2 linked regions of the Drosophila melanogaster genome follow. The protein of the gene in region 2 interacts with the protein of the main gene of each other region in a pairwise test. Each region holds a gene or a part of one and is shown on either strand. Other genes may lie near its edges.

Region 1 (7,985 bases), on a different chromosome or scaffold from region 2:
AAAGCTCGGATTGAGTCGGACATGGATTCTGAGCAAACTTGTCAATCATTGTAATCGCACTACTACCTATACAGTGCACGAAATCGGGCATTAGTTGTGAAAATACATACATTTAATATGTGATTGGAAAATATACAAAATACTGTCAAAAATTTGTTATGTATACAATTTTAAATGGAATGATATTGTATTATATGAAAGTTATCCTTTTAAAAAGTTAAACATATAATATTTATTTCTGTGCTGCGATGAATAATCTTTGAATAATAATAAACCAATTGAGTTATCAATTGTTCAAACTATTGTTTTTGCGAGTATTTGTATATGGTGCACGTTGATATATATCTGTGCGACTTTTGCCATGCGTATAACGCTGCCGACTGGCAGTCCGACCTTTTTTGGGGGGCACTTTTATGGAGCATGAGAAACGGAGACAGATATCATTGCTTTTAATTGCCCAAGCTGAGCGCCTAGGCCTAGGTCAGTCTGTACCAGAATTGCAGTCCCCTCCGCTTCGCTCCACTCTACTCTACACTTCAATCCAATCCAATCCACTCCACTGCGACCATAATTAATTTAATAAAATGTAAAGCAGCAGCCTGGTCTGAAAAAAAAACTTGACTCATTCTCGGCGCTCAGAAGCGGCGCTTTGAGCGAGATTCGAAAATCGGTTGACTCACAGACTTGAGTTCAACTCGTTTTTGTGGCATTCAACGGCAAGCGAATAAAAGTTCGCCGTCTCGATATTCTATGATCAGTTTACAGTCTCAACTTCACCCAGGTGTTCCAGTTTCATTTGAAGTGCTTCTCTCGAGGATTAGCCGTTGAAATAAGTCCAGATCAAAGTGAGTGAGTGTCGTGTGTTTGTGCGAGTGGGTGCTTTTTGGAGAACCGAAATCCGATTCGGTTGTGTGGGATCGTAACCTTGACTTTGGCTGAATCAACGTATCAATTTGGACTTGGAATATGTAAATGCATTTAATGGCGCATAATAAAAATGCATGTACAGTGGCTGTGATCATTAAAAAGTAGAAAGGTTTAAAGAGTGTATAATCTAATAACGAATGTCACATTTTCAAGGATTATATCAGGGTTTCAGTTCGAAGTGAATATATCAAAGCCTAAAAAGGATGATCATGATTTAAATCAATTTCATTGCTAACGTATTCTTAATTAATACATTTGGTAAATGCATCTTCGATAATGTCATTATAACGTAAAATAAAAAATAATATTTTCACCAATCCTTATAGCAAATTACCCAATTGCAATTAAAATCTCAAAAGAGTTCTAGAGAGACCACTGTACTTATATCTCAAGCTACGATTGCTTTGTTGCGACCAAATTGGAGCACTCTACGCTTGACAAATAAAGCTCGCCATTTAGTTCGCGGCCAGTCCAATTCTTATCAATAAAAAAAAGCCAGTTCCAAGTTGCAAAAAAGTTCATGGATTAGCAACTGTAACAGTTTGAGCCAAGATCTCCGCGTTGCCCACTCCATTGGCCATATGCGATAATTGATTTTCCCGTACATAATTTATGACGCACGAAACTGACAGCCGACTTGTAGATTAAAAACTGCCACTGACCAGCGGCAATAAATCTGTCCGTATCGCTTTATTAGAACGTTGGACAATAATGCCAGCTCCTGCTCCTTTTCTCCCCTCCAGCAGCCAATCATGCCGACCGCCTGCCAAGTAACGCTGCTCGCTGGATGCCTGCTTCTGGCCATGAGTTCGGTTCGGGCCCAGTTCTTCTACCACCAGGCGCTGGGTCTGCCGGTTGCGCACGCTTACGAACCGGCCAATCCGTACCAGGGATATGCAACAGCCGATGCCCATCCCTCGGTGGTGCGAAATGCCCAGTGGGAGTCTGAGTTGCCGGCTGAGCTGTCGAAGAGTGCGCGGTTCTACAATGATCCCGTGATCGCTGCCAATCTGGCCAAGGAATCACTGCTCACGAAGAAGGAAATGGCAGTGGTACATCGTGAGGCGGAGAAAATACCGCGCGAACAGGTGTACAAGCTCTTCAAGAACGCCGGCTATCTGAGTAGCAGATAGAACTCACGATGCCAGATGAGTTCCGTTCCCCACGTGCCTTGTTGTATTTTAGCTTGTAAATTGTTAATATATTGTACATAGTACTCTACATATTAAATGTTTTTTCTATAAATGACCGTTTGATTATAGTGACTGATAGGATGATTTTGGTATAAAAGTTGGATTAAAATGCTACACAAGCGTTCACTGTATATACAACTCGGCTCCGTTTCCTGGTAGAGTGGCAAAGACCACTTCGCTAAAGTTGTTGGGCTGATGACGCTCCAGGAGATGTGTTGGCAATTGAGCATAGTAATCGCGCTTCAAAACCTTTATGTACTCATCAGCTGCTTCTATGGAATCGCACATGGCAACTATACAACCGCCCCAACTGAAAAAGAATAATGTTGATTAAATTCATAGAGTCACTAGGATATCGGTTTTCTTACCCAGCTCCAGTGACTCGGGCGCTAACGTTCTGCTGGTTCGATATGGCAATCAGGCGCTCTACATCAGGATGAGAGCATTCGTATAGCTCCCTTAAACTCTCGTGGGATTGCCGCATGAGCTCACCCAGCTGTTTTGCACCTTCCTTATTGGCTCCGCCGGCGAGTTCCTCACAAATTTTCCGGAATTTGGCCACGCGACCGGATTCTGTTAGGCGGAAACAATGTTATTAACTGATCTTGCAATTTAATATTATTTGCTAAGAGTTTAAATCTTTCGGACAACAAATGAATGTCAACGTATTATTAATTGACTGTAATTATTCATTTGGTGATCAATAAATTTAATGTACACGTAATGATTCAGATTAAATGTGAAATCCTGATTGTAAATGATTAACTTACCCTGAATAACATGCAGAGCACGTTGACGCAGCTTGAACTGCTCCATGTGCCGAGTGTTGGCGGATAGGAACTTGGTCTCCAGTTCCTGTTCGGTGACTCCCAACTCCTTGCAGATATCCGCTCGCGTGTAGTTGCTCTTCGTTAAGTTGTCCTTAATCAACTTCTCGAAAGTCTCATTATCCATTTGGCACGCCTCCTCTAGATCAATGAAGCGCACAATATCCTCCCAGTTGATCAAGCCCTTGCGCTTGGCCAGCCATCTAGTGGCCAATCGGCATTCCACCACTCGTTCATTGTAGTCCGACGAAGCAGCCTTGTTCTTTTGAGCCAGACTGTTGGCCACAACGAAGCACTTGCCCGCTGGCAAGGTCACCGGAGTGCCCTTGAGCTTGGGATGGAACTCGATGTGGTGGGCGCAGCCAACTCTGCCCAAATAGGCTATTGCCTGATCCATACCACCACTGTGCGTTCCAATGTACTGCTCACACATGGCCGAAATGGAAGCCAGCTCCCTGCGATCTAGTTTCTTGCCCTGGACGTGTGCGGTGGCCAACACAGCGGAGCTGACCATGGCACTCGAACTGGAGAGTCCTGCCGCCAAGGGCACATTACCGTCCACAGCAATGCGCATGCCAATGGGCTTCCACTGGCTGCCCAGACTCTCCTGTATTCCTTTGATGCCGCACAAGAAGTAGTTATACCAAGCGGGTCCACCACTCTTTGGAAGCTCGATTCTAAAATAGCAAAAAAATATTTGGACTTATCATTTCTAAATTCGTTTAGATACCGCCTTCAAGGTGACATTGTTATTATAACAAATTAAATGGAAAATTTTCTAGTGCTTAAGGTCGGTAATTATCATGTTTCTGATTCACCCACCTGAGCGTTTTGAGATCGGCATCGTAGCCCGTAAACTTCGCTTCCTCGAGATTTCTGAGTTGAAGCTGGCTATCACTAGGATTCTTGGCCACTGCAAGGAAAATGCTCTGGCTTACAGCCATGGGCAGCACCGAATAGCCGCAGTAGTCCACATGCTCGCCAATGATGTTGACCCTAGGAGAAGGAGGAGATATCATCGATAAGGGACTATAGATGTGCACCACGAGTGGAACTGCTCACCTTCCTGGCACTCGAACGATAAAGTCCGGATTCGCTCCGAATTGTTGTTTGAAAAATGCGGTCAATTGCTGCACGCGCCCGTAAACCTTGGATTCCGGCTGGAGCTTCTGTGGGGCCACGATTTCAATGCCGGCACCCAAATCCTGAGCAGTTCCGTTCCCGTTGGCAGTCATGTTCACCTGCAGGCGGGTGAAACTTTAATAATGCCCATTATTTTCGCAGTCGACGAACCGTAAACGTGTCGCAACTGGTTAATCTAAATTTATGGGCAAAAACAAATTTACATACGTAAACAAATAGCCGTGGCAAAGGGAAAAACAATTGCACCTGTGGTTGTGCAAAAATTAGCTTATCAACCCATCTCACCTTATCAATATGTCCAAATAGCTATTAGCACACAAAGTGATGTACTAACATTGCGGTTATCAGTTGGGGAAACGGCATCAAAGTCACTAAAACATTAGATTGACGCCAATTTGACCGCTTAATTGGGCAAAAAACAAGTACAAAAGTGCAATTTCTGCCGGTAAATGAAAAGGAAGGGTGTGCGGGAGCGAGAGGACTATAGCCAACAGCTGTTATTTAGGAGTTGCCAGGCTTGCAGAAGCATTAACCCTTGAAATGCGCAATGGATAAAGATTTTATTTTGAATATTTATCCGCGAAATTGATGTTTATGTCTAGTCCCAACTAATAGTAAATTATTTGGCAATAAAGTTCTTAGCTGGTAATTGTTTTTCAAAAGTACTACCGCTTAAACTTACTGCCGCATAATCTAAATAGACCATTAATGACAAACATGACATTTATCTTATCTCGAAACCATAAACTTAACCTGTATTGAGCTTACCTTTTGTTTACATACCAGAATAAACACAGATATAAAGGATTTTGTCAAGATTTTTACACTTTTGCCGATACATACCCAACAATGCCTTATCTTTCTCTGTTTGAGGTCAAATTAACTTGGTGCCGTCTTATCAGAGAGGAGTTCTAGTTTTCGGTGTGAGCACGTCGCGTTCCATCAAGCAACTGAGCAATCCGGCCCGTTCCGTTTCCGTTTTTGCTTAGTCCGGAATACTATGAACAATAAAGTGATACTTCCTTATCAGTAGCATTACTGAAATATAAATGCTCGGAGACCTTATAGAACACCAGTTTCCCAGCTAGCGATGTTGCACTGTGTGTATCAGTAGGAACTTGTTGAGAGCTTTGTTAGTTTATAACTAGCTGTCTTTACCGTTAAATGGGTCAAACATCTTCATAGCATATGAATTCTTTCTTGTTAGCATTCTAAAAAACTGGTTTCCAAATTTTGTCTGCTTTAAAAAGTGGTTTTGACATCCACTTTGCGAAAGGTTATTACCTTGCTTATTATTTTGCCATTAATGTGAAGTATTTACAAAGCTGATAAGGTACAAGTGTTTCGGGGAGCTCATCAATTTTTTCGTAGATAAACTTTTAAAATACTTAATTGATTAAAATGTACAAACATTAAAATATACAACTGTTGTTGTTTCAGTATGGTACGGATTTTCGTCTTTGATTGCAAAAGCCTAAAATATCCGTTTTGGAATTTGAAATGTTGACTGTTGCGGTTAGGCGTTGCCAGACAAGGGCATTGCCAAGTGCAGCTCTTGAACCAGCGCTGCCAGCTGGCGTCAGTTACGGTTTTCTCGATTACGGTCACACTGCAATACTTCTTCGTTGAATTGGAACTATTTTTTTGTTTTCGAAAACGGATAATTGCGAGCAACGACTGTGTGAATAACCACTTGCACCTGCACCGTAGGAGCACCACCTGTTGACCCCACAGCGAAGACAATCGGATCAATGTCGAGTTTACAGCGCACGATGTTGAAGGGCAAGCTGCCACCCACAATTCCTGGCGGGCGCATTGGCAGAGCGTAAGTGCAGGGTATTCTGCGACTGGAGTGGGGAGTACGCAATCTCTACCCAATTTGGCTAATTACAGGGACTCGTTCAAGAAGTCGCGCATTCGCGACTACAAGCCGGGCATGTGGAACGAATTCTTTGCGGAGAAGGAGGACGTCACGGTGGATGAGCAACGCACCTTCCGCATCTATCGCACCAAGCAACCGGAGAAGCCGGGTCCAGTTCTCCTTCTGCTCCACGGCGGTGGCTACTCTGCCCTCACCTGGGCGCACTTTTGTGTGAGTGAATGCGATATATTCTGTTAAATAGTCTTAACATGTACATATATCCATTTAAGTCTGAGGTGACCAGCATGATCCACTGCCAGTGCCTGTGCATCGATATGCGAGGTCATGGGGACAGCAAGGTGGACGACGAGGACGATCTCTCCGCTGATACGTTGGCTAAGTGAGTTGAATCCAAAAAAATATTGTTCTCAAAATATGTTTTAGAGATGGTTATGCAAATTTTTCTACTGCTTACATTAAAAACCAATATTTTTAAGATTTTGTCGAGTAAAACTTCTCGCATTAACTCTTAGCTTTATGAACGATTAGGCTAAACTTGCATAATCTCTTTATTTATAAAAATAGCGCACTGCACTTAAAGTAGGTCGATCTATTTGAACGATCACTCATTTGTAAATATTATTTAGTTTTTTATAGTTACTTTATTCACGGTTGAAGCTAAAAACCATAATAATCTAATCTATAATCTATAATAATGTTTAAAATATTCTAAACAGGGACATCGGTGACTTAATCCTGAAGCTCTATCCTGAAGAAGTGCCGCAGCTTTTTGTGGTTGGCCACTCGATGGGCGGCGCCATCGCCGTCCACTTTGCCCACATGGCTCTGGTGCCCAATTTGATTGGAATAACCGTCATCGATGTTGTGGAGGGCACAGCCATGGAGGCACTAGCCAGCATGCAGAGCTTTCTGCGCTCCCGTCCAAAGTATTTCCAGAGTATTCCGAATGCTATCGAGTGGTGCATCCGAAGCGGCCAAGTGCGCAATGTGGACAGCGCCAAAGTGTCCATGCCGGGACAGATAATAAAGTGAGTAGGATTGTCGTAAACGACAGAAAAGTAATAATAAATCAATCCCACGCAGTTGTACAACGAACAAACTGGCAACGAATGATCTGCCATTACCAGATGATGTATTGGAGGAGGCCCACCACAACAGTATGTTTCCCAATCCGTTTAGCATTTCGGAGGATGAAGAATCGTCACCGCCGGGCGATGACGCCGCCGATGGCTCCTCAGAAAGTGCCGCAGCTGGCGCGGATTTCAAGAAGCCCAACACGACCAAATCGACAACCGAAGCGGCCAAAAAGTACGTAGTCCAATTTATTTTATTTTAGTTAAAACACAAATTATTCATTGATTGCTTCTCAGTTACACCTGGCGCATTGATCTGTCCAAGTCGGAGAAGTACTGGGTGGGCTGGTTTTCGGGGCTGAGCGATAAGTTCCTTAACTTGCGCCTGCCCAAGCAACTACTCCTCGCCAGCATCGATGGACTGGACCGCACCCTGACTGTTGGCCAGATGCAGGGTCGCTTCCAGATGCAGGTCTTGGCCCGCTGCGGTCACGCCGTGCACGAGGACCGTCCACACGAGGTGGCTGAGGTGATTAGCGGCTACTTGATCCGGAATCGGTTTGCAGAAGCAGCCAGCGAATTTCGTTGCCACATGCCGTCGTGCTAAACACAACCACCCCCTGAATCCGAGGTTGAGCACAAACTGAGGTCACAAAAGTCTATTTTTGAATGGAGGTGCATTACTCTTTGAACTTACAGATGCGTGCATATATATATATATATACAAAATGTAGTGCGTAGGTCCAGATATATACAGCCGTATATTCTATATACACATAAACTAATAATCCAGTAATTTATTCGGTACTTTTAATTAAACCACTTGAATTTTCAACATTGTACTTTATACTCATTTTGCCAAAAATCTAAGGTCTAAAGTGCTTGCGTTTGGGCTTCTTGCATTGTTATAATGAGTGTGTATTAAATATGTGCCAGATCA
Region 2 (5,085 bases):
ATCTCAAGCTTGGAACGGAAATAAGATCATTCCGTGAGGCACGCTGACTACCGGCAAAAATCGTCGTGCTTGGAGCCTCAATGTTTCCTCCCAGTAGTGTCATAAAAAACCAAAAAGAAAAATATACATTTGTTTCCTGTGCACTAGGAATAACAAGAGCCTGGGATCTACGTAAGCCAGTGTCTTAAAGACAGCGTTTTTCCAGATCCATCTGGGACTTGTTTGGCCAGCTCACTACTCGCACTCGTTGTTTTTATTCAATTACCAATTCGAATTCGAATGCTGTCATAGCCTCACTCCAGTTCCTCGCAAGCAGCTGCAGCCGTTTGTCTTGCCAATTGGCCGAAGCCATCAACAAACCGAACCCAAGCGGAGCATTATTGTAATTCAGGCAGCTACCAACCAACCAACCACTCGCTCTCGATTTTAAATTGTTTGGAAGTAATAAAAAGTTTATCAAGTGTAAAGCGAAAAACAGCGCACGAAGCCCTTGACTTTCGGCACTCGGTGTTAATTGTTTGAGCTTTAAGTTGGGAAACGGTGCCACATTTCAAGGACCTGGTAAAGTAAAGCTCCCAGGGCTTTATTCAAGGCGAAAGTAATGCAAAACAATGGGCTCGAAAACCACCCACCAACACAATCACTAGCACAAAAGCGGAGAAAGAAAGACGCACAACAAATAAATCAATTGGCTTTGCCTAAAACGTTTGAAATTGATTTCAAGTTCTTTGGCCCATTGTTTTTATATGCAACAAAGGGACAATTTTTCATTTCCAACGATAACAATAAAAGCAACACAAGGTCCTTTTCATGGTGGAACACACTGGGATAGACACACACATGCGGTCGATCCCTGGGCATGTAAATTGGCCGCATTGTTTATGAGCTCTGCTATCCTGCGTGTCCTCCAGCCTCGTCCTTCGAGGGACTATTGATTGTCAATTCAGTTTAAGCGCCGCCCATAAATTCAGTAAATGAGCAGAGGTCCAGCCGAAGCTGCTGCCATTTTTCTTAATTTGCTGAAATGCACAAAAACAATTTTCGATTTCCACGAAAGACGCCCACATCGCGAATTCGAATTCAATGGTTGATAGTTTGCTATTATCCTTAATTTCTACAATATTTTTATTCTTTCATTTCATTTACCTAACACATTTTAAAATATCCTTTAGATAATCTCTAAAATATAGTCACTTGATTTGATTTAAAAACATTTTTAAAGCTAAACGATGAGGTAATATTACTTATCATTCTTAAACCCCCAGCCGGAGAGCCAAAAGGATATCGAGTTGCACTTCAAATGTTTGTGTGCCCTACCTTTGTTTGGTCATTAGACCTGACACGTTGTCAACACGCAACAACTGCCAACAACTGACAGCCGTCAACTGTTTATGTTTGCCATTTAGCAGGCAAAACATTTTGATTACGCATACGCCATGTGGATCGAAGCGACGTTTGTTGCTTTGACAGGCGCCTCGAATTCCATTCGCCCATAAATAAAAGTCATCTGCTGGTTATCAGTCGATTGGAGATGCATTCGCTGCTTGTTTGTGTTTCAGCGCTTTGGTTTTGTCAGCTTTGCGAAGCGGCGATTGGAGCTCAACTCTGCAAGGATTGTCGTGTGAATGTGATATATCCTAGTGGCGGAAGAGGCAACCATCAGTTGTCAGAAAACCGTCAAATAGTTAGAATCATCAACAAATACAAGCCAATCAGAAGGCAGGAACTGGAATATCAAAATGAGATCGGGATGAGCCACTTGCAATTCAGCTTTATTGCGAAGATAAAGGTGGGAAATGCGGTACGATGCAGTGCGGCCTTGGTGGCTCCCAGTTTGGCCATCACCTCCAGTAAGTGCTTTTCAAACGACTCTTTCAAACCGCTGCAAATTATCTTCACCGGCGGAAGAACTATCGCTGTGGATAATGTAGTCAAAGCGGATTTCTGTCCTGAGCTTAGCATTCTTCACTTGAAGAGGCCGTCTGAAATCAATCCAATTGCCCTATGCCAATATGACGTACCATTGGGCACAAGAGTATCAATGATGATGGCCACTTCGGATCTCAGATATTACGGCCGTCGAAGAACTGAAATAATCTCAAATCGTGCCTGCAAGACAACATTCCTGGAAGAGGATTCAGTTTTTATAACTCCCAGTATGCTGTGTGCAAAGAACTCAATGAATCCGGAAATGTGTGCAACTTCTCCAGGTGATGTCCTACTTATAGACCATCAATTATGTGGCTTAAACGTTTATGGATTTCGCTGTTTTCAAAATGCACTCAATGGTGATCTCTACATAAGTCTAGGCAAACTGCAGCCCATGATCGGCGATTTGATCCGGAAACTTAATGGTTTAAGTGAAGAATTTAAATCAGTTACGGGGAAAGAAACCTAATTGTTGTGATTTGAGACTGAATCGGTTGAAATGTCATAATGCAGCTTAGTCAGCTAGTCATAATATTAGCAGTCTCCCGAGGATCAGTTTACGGATCTTCTGAGACCGCTCCGCAGTTTAATGTGGGTGAAATACCCAGCAATGGACAGCCCTATCAGATAGTTCGTGTTATTGAGTATATAGTGCCCTATCCCTACCAGAGATCACCGAAAATTTCCGCTAGATTCTCAAGCGGAGGCAACAAAGAACCCAACAGCCTAGAGATAATTCCCGCTGAAATCGAGACTCTCCTTACCGATGGACAAGCCACAACAGAGGCACCAAAGGCAGTGAAGCATTTCGTTATGCGAATCCTTTATGAAAACAAAGTCATTTGCAGTGGTGCTCTAATCTCCACTCGTCTGGTTTTAACCTCCGCCCTCTGTTTTCCCAGGACTCTGCGTCAACCTCCACCTCGTTCGTACAAACTGCAGGCTAGTCGGAGTCGGATATATTCGGTGGCCAATCTAATTACCGGCGCTATTGAGGACATGGCCCTATTACTGCTCCACGCTCCACTGGAGGATCCCTTCGTCCATCCGATTGATCTCTGCGAGTCACCTCTCCGAAGGAATGACAATGTAACCATGTACATGTCACAGCAACATCTGCGTTTCCTGCGCACCAAACTCATTCCCAATAGCAATTGCAAAAGGAGCTATGCCCAGGATGAGAACGCCTTCATCACGCAGACCATGTTGTGCGCCCTTAATTCAAACCGATTGGTGGACTGCCAGACGGCAAAGGGGGATGTCCTCCTCCACCAGGATCGGTTGTGCGGAGTGGACATTTACGGGCAACACTGCTCCGATGGTGGTGTCAATGGAGAGCTGTATGCGGACGTCTTTAAGGCCCGGACTGAACTGATGCACTTGATTGAGCGTTATTCGAATTAAATGATTTAACAGGGAAATTGCCGAATAAAAAATACATTAACTTAGTTCCTTTCCAATGGTTGTTGAATAAAAATTTTTCAATAACATCTGAAAGTTAGAGAGTGAACATAGATTTACTGTCGCGATTCAATGTTCGTGCGCTGCCCAAATCGAATCAATCTCACTAAACAAACACTGAAAACAAAAGGGCAAAAAAAATCGCAAATAAAATCAGGGGATGCCGCCTTCTGTTGGTCGCGGGCAAAATTGAAAGTCGCCACCAACAAAATCAGAGAAACACAAAGAGCACAAGCGATGTTTTTTTAACATTTTATTTTCTTTCAATTTGCGGCTTAAAAAGTTAACTGTTTCCATCAAAATGCCCTGAACTGCAATGACTATGATGTATGTAAATTTGAGCGAAAAAACAAATGGCAAAAAACGAAAATTGCGAAAAAAAAAACACACAATAAGAGACACAAGCGCCACCCAAACCCTCTAAAATCATCATGACAGGAAAAAGGTGTTACACTTGGCTTGAAATTTACACCGTCGATGGGCGGGGCAGCAAGGGGGCCTCTGCGGCAAAAAGAGGAAGAGATGGAGTCCTGCGAAAAAAAAACCCAAAGCTTCACCGGCGGCCATGGATACGTAGCTGGCTTTTGGCTTTGCCTTTGCGCTAAAATATGCAATTTTGTCATGAAATATGCACATGTCCACCGCGCGGCAAGGACGAACCGTCGTGACACCCACCGCCACCCACCTACAGCAGCACTATCAGCGGCGGCAACAAAATAAATTTAAAAGGCAACATACATAAATAAATTAAGCATTTAAAAACCCAGCGGGAATAATGAAAGCTATAAAAGGCTTAGGCAGTGCGAGTCTGGAAGTGCCCTTTACAAGGATTAAGGTAATTATAAAAAACTTAATGGGAGGTAGGTATGAAACGCTGCCAAGGAAAATCTTTGCCATATAAAATGACAGCGAATTAAAATAGCTCTTCAATTGAGGTGAAGACAGGAATGATATATGTACAGCCCAAGATATAATCCAATCAAAAATTGACCAAATCAGCTAAATCTATAGTGCATCCAGAGTATCTATGCGGTCTAGAGAAAAGTTTCCATAACTTTCCCACCAGCCACGCCCACCATTTGACATTTAAATGCAACGAAGCCTGTCGAAAATGTTGCCGCCAACATCATCGCGAACAACTAAATTTATGTACATAGAAATTAATATTAAAGAAAAAACGAACAGCGTGTATTTGTATAAAATAAAGGATGCCATAGTGGGTGATGGTATTGGTGCGACACGGGATAATATTGCAATTGAAAACAACAAATGGCATGAAAAAACTTCAACACTAGTTTGATGATAAAAACAATAAAACAAATATATATTCCATTTGACTAAAAATTGCCGCCCCGTGGGAATTCGCGGGGCTAAAGCGACACCCCCAAGCCAATTGATCCACTTTAGCCACTTCGCCCCCGCTTTTCAGTGACCCGCTGACCTACCGCAAATATGGGAGATGAGCAATCGAGTGGACGTGTTCACAGAAGTCGCGGATAAAACAAAAACGTAATTGTGATCCATCACAAACATTTGCGCAGATCGTGTGCTTATCTCACAAACAAAATCTATTTTTAGTCACTGCATAACGGTGACGGCTTCGGTTCGCGAAACTTATCAGCAACTAGCAATTTCTAAGCTGTGTTGTTTTTGCCCCTCGCCCTGCGCGCTGCGCAAGCGGGAGGTTGTTACAAT

The links.
Region 1: the proteins of intr (region 2) and Galk interact in a two-hybrid assay, tested with the Drosophila melanogaster proteins (one large-scale study listed by BioGRID).

What each region holds. Positions count from the first base shown.
Region 1 is NT_037436.4:8,981,044-8,989,028, forward strand, and holds Galk (galactokinase), read right to left. Parts: upstream 5,049-7,985; 5' UTR 4,934-5,048; intron 4,774-4,933; exon of another isoform or gene 4,376-4,773; intron 4,266-4,375; exon of another isoform or gene 4,189-4,265; 5' UTR 4,183-4,188; coding exon 4,010-4,182; intron 3,944-4,009; coding exon 3,770-3,943; intron 3,625-3,769; coding exon 2,891-3,624; intron 2,694-2,890; coding exon 2,489-2,693; intron 2,431-2,488; coding exon 2,244-2,430; 3' UTR 2,061-2,243; coding exon of another isoform or gene 1,680-2,060; 3' UTR 1,169-1,679; downstream 1-1,168. Other genes in the region: CG13314 (uncharacterized protein), read left to right, coding at 1,680-2,060; CG5068 (uncharacterized protein), read left to right, coding at 5,842-5,915, 5,984-6,182, 6,242-6,351, 6,689-7,000, 7,056-7,280, 7,343-7,652.
Region 2 is NT_033777.3:28,788,086-28,793,170, forward strand, and holds intr (intrepid), read left to right. Parts: upstream 1-2,436; coding exon 2,437-3,333; 3' UTR 3,334-3,376; downstream 3,377-5,085. Other genes in the region: CG34295 (uncharacterized protein), read left to right, coding at 1,532-2,398.